Linked DNA regions of Macaca mulatta. The protein of the gene in region 1 interacts with the protein of each later gene in a pairwise test. Links are inferred from orthologs where the notes say so. Each region holds a gene or a part of one and is shown on either strand. Other genes may lie near its edges.

Region 1 (3,818 bases):
GTAGAAGCAGAAGTTAGTATTAATGAGGTAAGGAAGACTTACTTCAAGTACTAATTTTTACTCTTAAATGTGCCGTTAAGTCAGCTGTCTTGCTTGCTTATTCAGTATTCTGACTTTAGCTTCACAGGGGTAACAAAAGTGCAGACAGTTCATCCCTAATGTAGTAGTCAGGTTGCACCGGCAAGGTGTTGGCGCCTAGTAGTTTGTTTGCCTTCATCTGTTTTTATAAGTAAACACTAAGAAATAATTTTTATTAACAGCATTGTGCTGTGGAATGCTAAGATCATAATTATTGGCCTGAAAATTGTAAATTCTCACATTATTTGAATACACCCTAATTTAAACCAGTTTATAGTTGAAGCCAACTCTGGATGGTACTGCCGATCTAAGGACTACATGTGAGTAGTTTGTTTGGCTTAGGTGTCAGCATACTGTGGCCCATTAGCCAAATGCTGCTCTCTGTTTTAGTAAATAAAATTTGATTGGAACACAGCCACACTCATTTACATATTGTCTTTGGCTACTTTTGGCAGAATAGTGGTTGCGACAGAGACCTTATGGCCTGCAAAGCCTAAATTAATATTTACTGTCTACTCTTTTACAGGAAAAGGTTGTAAACTATACCCCCGGTCTAGTTTAAAATGTTGTTTTTGGTTTTGGTTTTGTTTTGGGTGTGTGACGGAGTCTTGCTCTGTTGCCCAGGCTGGAGTGCAGTGGTGCAATCTCGGCTCCCTGCAGCCTCCGCCTCTTGGGTTCAAGCTATTCTCCTGCCTCAGCCTCCTGAGCAGCTGGGATTACAGGCACCCATCACCACGCCCAGCTAATTTTTGTATTTCTGTAGAGACGGGGTTTCCCCATGTTGTCCAGGCTGGTCTTGACTCCTGACCTCAGGTAATCTGCCCACCTCGGCCTCCCAAAATGCGGATTACAGACGTGATCCACCATGCCCAGCCTAGTTTAAAATTTTTGTGTATAGTGTGGAGCTTTTCCCATTACTTTTATTTCAGAGATTAACATGTTCCACTTTTGCGAGTATTTTTTAAACTGAAGTATCCATGATTTCTGTATCAATGATTATTACTAGAGTTAGAAATTACATAATATACTAAAATGGATTTTTTTGTTTCCTCAGCTCTTTGAGTGAAAATCCACTAACACAAAACTAAATTTTTTCTTACAACGTGTGTAAATTTGACATAGCGCTTATTCCACAGTGTATCTGTGTTGGGTTTAGTATCTTTATAAAATTATCTGTAAGTTAAAATACTTTCTCCCGTTCCTCAAATACTGTGTTACAATTGCAGTTCAGAAACACTGCAAAAACGTGCAGTGTTTTTGCAGCTCACATTACCCTACCATGACACTGTAGATTGTCACTGGTGCGCGTTTACCAGTTTAAGTGAACGAGACTTCACAAATGCATGCTCCCAGCTAATTTGTACTCTTTGTGTTTCTGACTTGCTCTGTGTTTGTGTCTCTTCTTGTGCTTACTTGGAGAACTCTTTATTAGGAACTTCCTAATATCAATAAGTGGAGCTTTGGAAATTTCAACAACTCCCTAATATTCAAGAGCACTATAGCTCATGAAGTCTATTTCTGCTTTAATATTTGAATCAAATCACAAGAAACTTTTTAACTCAAAGTTTTTAGTTTTTTAAAAGAGGTATTTACTATAATGGGGCACCAGGCCTTTGATCATTCTATGACCTATTCCATATTGTTTGTTGCTTTGACTAACAGAATTTCAGAATCTAATTAATAAACCTTTTTATCAGCTCGGCCTGCATCTTTCAGCTCTATCTGTACAGCTCTATACTGTAATAATAGTGTGAACTAAATAAAAAGGAAAATTTAAGCAGTCATTTCCAGTTGCTGCTTGTAGTTTCTTTATTCCGTCGGGACTTCTTATATGAATTCAGAAAGTTCCTCAAAATGTTTTTCTAGGAATGAAGATTTTCATTTCATTTCTGATTTTGTATAAATACAGATAACTTTAAATATTGCCTTTGATTTTTCTTCTCTCACAATTTTCCAAATCCAGGATGGTACCTTGTTTGATGGTCGACCAATAGAGTCTCTGTCCCTGATAGATGCCGTAATGCCTGATGTAGTACAAACAAGACAACAAGCTTATAGAGATAAGCTTGCACAGCAACAGGCAGCAGCTGCTGCAGCTGCCGCAGCTGCAGCCAGCCAACAAGGATCTGCAAAAAATGGAGAAAACACAGCAAATGGGGAAGAGAATGGAGCACATACTATAGCAAGTGAGCTCAGACAAGAATTTTTTTTTTAATTACGTGGTTTATTTTTTAAACTTTTAATTCGGGGTACATGTGCAGATTTGTTAAATAGAGGAACTCATGTCACAGGGGTTTGTTGTACAGACTATTTCATCACCCAGGTACTAAGCCTAGTGCCCAATAGTTATTTTTTCTGATCCTCCTCTTCCACCCTCCATCCCCCAGGAAGGTCCCAGGAGATAAGAATTTTTAAAAATTTATTCTCAGAGGAAATATATTTGCTTTAACAGAATGTCCCATCTTCTATGCCGAAATAATTCCATCTGTTATTTGCACCAACTTGTTTTCTTAACTTGTATCACACAGATCAGATTTTTATTCCTGAAGCTCCAAAAAGCTAGATTTACTTTTATTTTCTTTTTAAAATATCTAGAAGCCCTTTTCCCATCATTAAATGAATTTTTGTATCTACATTTGATTTCTAAATGAAATTGTAATACTAGTTATCAACAAATACCATAGCGCTCTGACATTGAGATAAAAGGCAAGTCATGTTATATGAATGATATCAGCAACCCCTACTGGCAGAAACTCAGAATAGTACTGGTAGACATTATGTTTAGTTCAAACCATTTTATCGTTTTATCCATGTTTAGGTCTAATCATTTAAAGTCTGCATCCCACCCCCACCCCCATCCCTCTTAAAAAAAAAGTATGGTCAATACTTAATTAAAGGTACCAATTTATTTTCTATGTGACTAAGACTGTGTAGTCATGTTCAGCTTAACTTGATAATGTTAACCCTGTATGTGATAAAGGAAGGTATTTGCTAGTTAAGAATTCACCCATCCGCCATATTGTAATACTGCCTAACTGGAATTGCTTACTTGTTTTTCACGATGCAGATAATCATACTGATATGATGGAAGTGGATGGGGATGTTGAAATCCCTCCTAATAAAGCAGTTGTGTTGCGGGGCCATGAATCTGAAGTTTTCATCTGTGCCTGGAACCCTGTTAGTGATCTCCTAGCATCAGGGTGTGTTTCTCAAAGTGATACTAAAATGGCTTTTACAAATATCTTACTGAGCATTTTATAAACATATGCATTATTCAGGTTTTCTGTTGTTGCTTATTTGTGGCCATTTTGTCTCTGTAAATGTTTTATTCCTTCATGAAGTAATTGTAGAATTTTTAATTAAACTTACTGTTTCGAGAACGCTTGGGGGTCCCAATGTGTAGAATGGGAAAAATACTGGAAATGAAAATCTGTGATAGTTTAGTTTTTATTTGCCTTATTAATATTCAGATGTAAATATGTTGCCTTGATTCTGATAGTTGAGAATGTCATGAGGATTTAAAATACATTGCATACTTTTATAGGTCTGGAGACTCAACAGCAAGAATATGGAATCTTAGTGAGAACAGCACCAGTGGCTCTACACAGTTAGTACTTAGACATTGTATACGAGAAGGAGGGCAAGATGTTCCAAGCAACAAGGATGTCACATCTCTAGATTGGAATGTGAGTATCACTGTATCCATGATGGATATAATTACTAGTATACCTAACCCTCAG
Region 2 (3,918 bases), on another chromosome or scaffold:
CCTGCATCACTGCAGTGGCCAAACTGGTCTCTGATTCCTTCTATCCTCTGCACTTCTCACTGAAAGGGAAAACCAAAAACCAAAAGGCCCTAGGTGAGGTGGTTCCCAGTCAACAGTCCTCCCCACTCCAGACACACTGCGCTCCTCGCCAGTCCTCTGAACATGCCAGTTAGTCCTCCCAGGGCCTCTGACTTGCTGTTCCCTTTGCTTTAAAGTTTCCCCCCAGACTGCTATAAGGTTCAACCCTCACCTCCCTCATGTACTCAACTGTCACTTTTTTTTGAGACAGAGTTTCTCTCGTCACCCAGGCTGGAGTGTAATGGCTCACTGTAATCTCTGCCTCCTGGGTTCTAGCAATTATCTTGCCTCAGCCTCCTGGGTAGCTGGGATTAAAGGTGTCCACCACCACACCCAGCTAATTTTTGTATTTTCAGTAGAGACGGGATTTCACCATGTTGGCCAGGCTGGTCTCAAACTCCTGACCTCAGGTGATCCATCTGCCTTGGTCTTTCAAAGTGCTGGGATTACAGGTGTGAGCCACCATGCCCTGCCATCATACACTGGCCTTCTTTGACCACCCTAAATTGCATTATTCTCCATATATAGATATGTAGTGGGAGCTCATCCTGGAGCAGTAGAAGGCCGTGTTCCCCAGAAGCATGGTCCAAAGCATGGCCCATATACATATATAATATGTATGGAGAATATATATATGTATAGATAGAGACGGGGTCTATGTTGCTCAGGCTGGTCTCAAACTCCTGGGCTCAAGCGAGCCTCCCACCTCAGCCTCCCAAAGTGCTAGGGTTACAGGTGTGTGCCACTGAGCACCCAGCCTCTATTACATATTTTACTTATTTCCTGTGTTATTATTTTTCTACCCCCCTGCATTACAGAATTTCCATGAAGGTAACATTTTTTTTTTGTTTTAGTACCCTGGCCCCTAGGACAGTGCCTAGCACATATTAGGCACTCAATATTTATCAAATGAGTGAACTGTATGCTTTTCTCAGAGCTCTTTAAAACAGACATGGGGCCGGGCGCGGTGGCTCATGCCTGGAATCCCAACACTTTGGGAGGCCAAGGCAGGTAGATCACTTGAGGTCAGGAATTCGAGACCAGCCTGACCAACAAGGTGAAATCCCGTCTCTACTAAAAATATTCTTTAAAATGAGCCGGGCGTGGTGGTGGGCACCTGTAATCCCAGCTATTTGGGAGGCTGAGGCAGGGGAATCGCTTGAACCCGGGAGGCGGAGATTGCAGTGAGCTGAGATTGCGCCACTGCACTCCTGCCTGGGCAACAAGAGCGAACCTCCGTCTCAAATAAAATAAAATAAAATAAAACAGACATGGGCCGGACTCCGTGGCTCATGCCTATAATCCCAGAGTTTTGGGAGGCTGAGGTGGGAGGATCACTTGAGCCTAGAAATTGGAGGCTGCAGTAAGCCTTGACTGCGCCACTGCACTCCAGCCAGGGCAACAGAGCAAGACCCTATCTCAAAAATGTGAGATTTGATTATTAAGTTATATGTGCACGTAAGCATCTTATCTCCCCTGCCATTCCCCCGCGGGGCCTGGCACAGAGCAGAGGGAACGGGTGTGGGCGCCTAAATGGACTCAGAAGGCGCACAGCGCGCACGGGGCACTCGGGCTCACATACACACATCCTCAGCCACAGGGTCATCCAAGGGCCGCGTAGCACCAAAGAGACAGACTGTTGGATCCACGCTCGAAAGGATCCGCAGAGTCCACATCCGCCACCCGCCACCCCGCACGCCCCCAAGATTCGCAGCTGGAGGGCGGGGCCGGGGCCTGGAACCCTTGGGCCCGGGGGAGATGAGAGCCGGGAAGGCAGCGGCCCCACGCTTGCGCCAGGCCGCCGGTGGTGGCGTCCGAGTCATCTCCGGGACCCACCGCCCCTGACACTCAGGCCACCCGCCGCTGCGCCTGCAGGCCCGCTTCTGCGGCCCTCGGAGCTGGCCCCAGCCCCAGGCCAGGGGTGCTGCGCCTCCCGGCCCCCTGGGCGATTGGTGGGGCCGGCGTGGTGACGCCAGGGGCAGTTGGGACGCGCCGGCCGCCGCGTTCCGCTCCCGACAGGGGGCGCCCGGCACCGCCCGCCCGGCGGGGCCCCGCTACCCCCGCGGCTCCGGCGTCTGGAGGATACAGCATGAGCAGTCGCAGCTCCCGCTCTTTCTGCTTCATCTTCTTCAGAATGGTCAGGAGCCCCATGGTCCCCGGAGCCCCTCCCGGCCGCCGTTTCTTCCCAGTCCCGGGACCCCGCTCCCGGTTCCTATTGGCTATCACGCTCGCCGACGGCATAGCCAATTGGCTGGACGCTCGTTTGGTCCCGCCCCCGCCGCACGTGATCGCGAGGTCGCCCGCGCAGCTGCTGCGAGAGTGCCCCTAGCGGCGCAGGAGCCTTTTGTGCTGCCGCCCGCCCTGAGGCTGCGCCTCCCGAAGGCTGAGGCTGGGGGAGCAAGGGCGACACCCCTATCCTTTCCCCCGCCAGACCGGGGCTCTGGGCCGGAGCGGAAACCTTGAAGTTCCTGAGTTGCATCTTGGCTGCGTCTGACCTCAGAGTCAGAACCCAGGGTCTCCAGGTACGGACGAACTTATCTTGGGGCCAGTGTAGGCCCCTGTTCCCAGCAACACGGTCCAAATCCTGCTCCTCTGGGCCCTCGGCATCGTCCTTAATCTGCCAGTGACAGAGCAGAAAGTTGGGCCTCCCCCTACCCTGCTCCTGTGGCTCTCAGTTCAGGGCGGCGGTGCCCCCTGGAGGCCGTTCGGAAACGTGCGGGGCGTCCCTGGGTTCCAATGACGGAATTGTAGTCCGGTCCCAAAGGCTCCCCCACCCAGAGGCCCAGCGTTTCCCTGTTGAGAAGCACAATTCCTACTTTTGCGGATGGAAAAACCCAGATGGTGCTTAGCACAGTGGCTGGCATGTAGTAGGTGCTCGATAAATAGTTGTTGTTGAATGAATGGCTTTGTCCAAGAGTTTCATTCTTTACCTTAGCGCTTAAGAAGTCCAGAGGAGGCCGGGCGCGGTGGCTCACGCCTGTAATCCCAGCACTTTGGGAGGCCGAGGCGGGCGGATCACAAGGTCAGGAGATCGAGACCACGGTGAAACCCCGTCTCTACTAAAAATACAAAAAATTAGCCGGGCGCGGTTGTGGGCGCCTGTAGTCCCAGCTCCTCGGGAGGCTGAGGCAGGAGAATGGTGGGAACCCGGGAGGCGGAGCTTGCAGTGAGCTGAGATCTGGACACTGCACTCCAGCCTGGGCGACAGAGCGAGACTCCGTCTCAAAAAAAAAAAAAAGAAGTCCAGAGGAAGTGAGGAAATAGGTCAAGCATCAAGCCTATTGTAAACTCAGGAGAGAGCCTTATTGTCTTAATTTGGTGCCCCAGCCGGCTGCAGGCTAAATGTGAATAGGCAGCGCAGAAGATCCTCTCTCATGCTTGGGAAAGAGCTGTCAGCACCAGCTGAAGACAATGGCTAACTCCTGTGTAACTGTTTGCAATGCGCTCCACGTGTTCAGCTTCATCCTCCCTGCAACCCTGAGAGGTTTCTATTCTTTTCGTAGCTATGATAATGGAATCCCAAGTGTTTAAGGAGCATGGGTGAGATTCAAACTCAGGTCTGGTCAATGGTAAAGCACAATGTCTTCATGCCTCCATGAAGTTTGCCTAGACAGCGGTCTGGAAGAAGCTGGAGCTTCCCATCTTGCAGAAAGGGGCTTGTGGTCAGAGGAGGGCTGAACAGATAGGCTGCCTGAGTGGGACCCTTGGGTCAGCACCATTTACCCTCCATCAGACACACACAAAGGAAGAAACTGAGCATAGCGCCTACCCAGAGACTTTGAAACCCAACTAAGATCAAAATGGGAAATGCTAGCTGAGCGTGGTGGGTCACACCTGTAA

Evidence for each region.
Region 2: the proteins of TBL1XR1 (region 1) and ARL2 interact in binary tests that used the Homo sapiens proteins (3 or more experiments, as listed by UniProt). The two-hybrid records come from large-scale screens. The link is inferred for Macaca mulatta from reciprocal best matches to the Homo sapiens genes TBL1XR1 and ARL2.

The regions. Positions count from the first base shown.
Region 1 is NC_133407.1:89,020,194-89,024,011, reverse strand, and holds part of TBL1XR1 (F-box-like/WD repeat-containing protein TBL1XR1), read left to right. Parts: coding exon 1-27; intron 28-2,041; coding exon 2,042-2,264; intron 2,265-3,145; coding exon 3,146-3,278; intron 3,279-3,622; coding exon 3,623-3,764; intron 3,765-3,818. UniProt on the Homo sapiens protein: F-box-like protein involved in the recruitment of the ubiquitin/19S proteasome complex to nuclear receptor-regulated transcription units. Plays an essential role in transcription activation mediated by nuclear receptors.
Region 2 is NC_133419.1:9,369,417-9,373,334, forward strand, and holds the start of ARL2 (ADP-ribosylation factor-like protein 2), read right to left. Parts: upstream 2,266-3,918; 5' UTR 2,230-2,265; coding exon 2,165-2,229; intron 612-2,164; exon of another isoform or gene 547-611; intron 1-546. UniProt on the Homo sapiens protein: Small GTP-binding protein which cycles between an inactive GDP-bound and an active GTP-bound form, and the rate of cycling is regulated by guanine nucleotide exchange factors (GEF) and GTPase-activating proteins (GAP).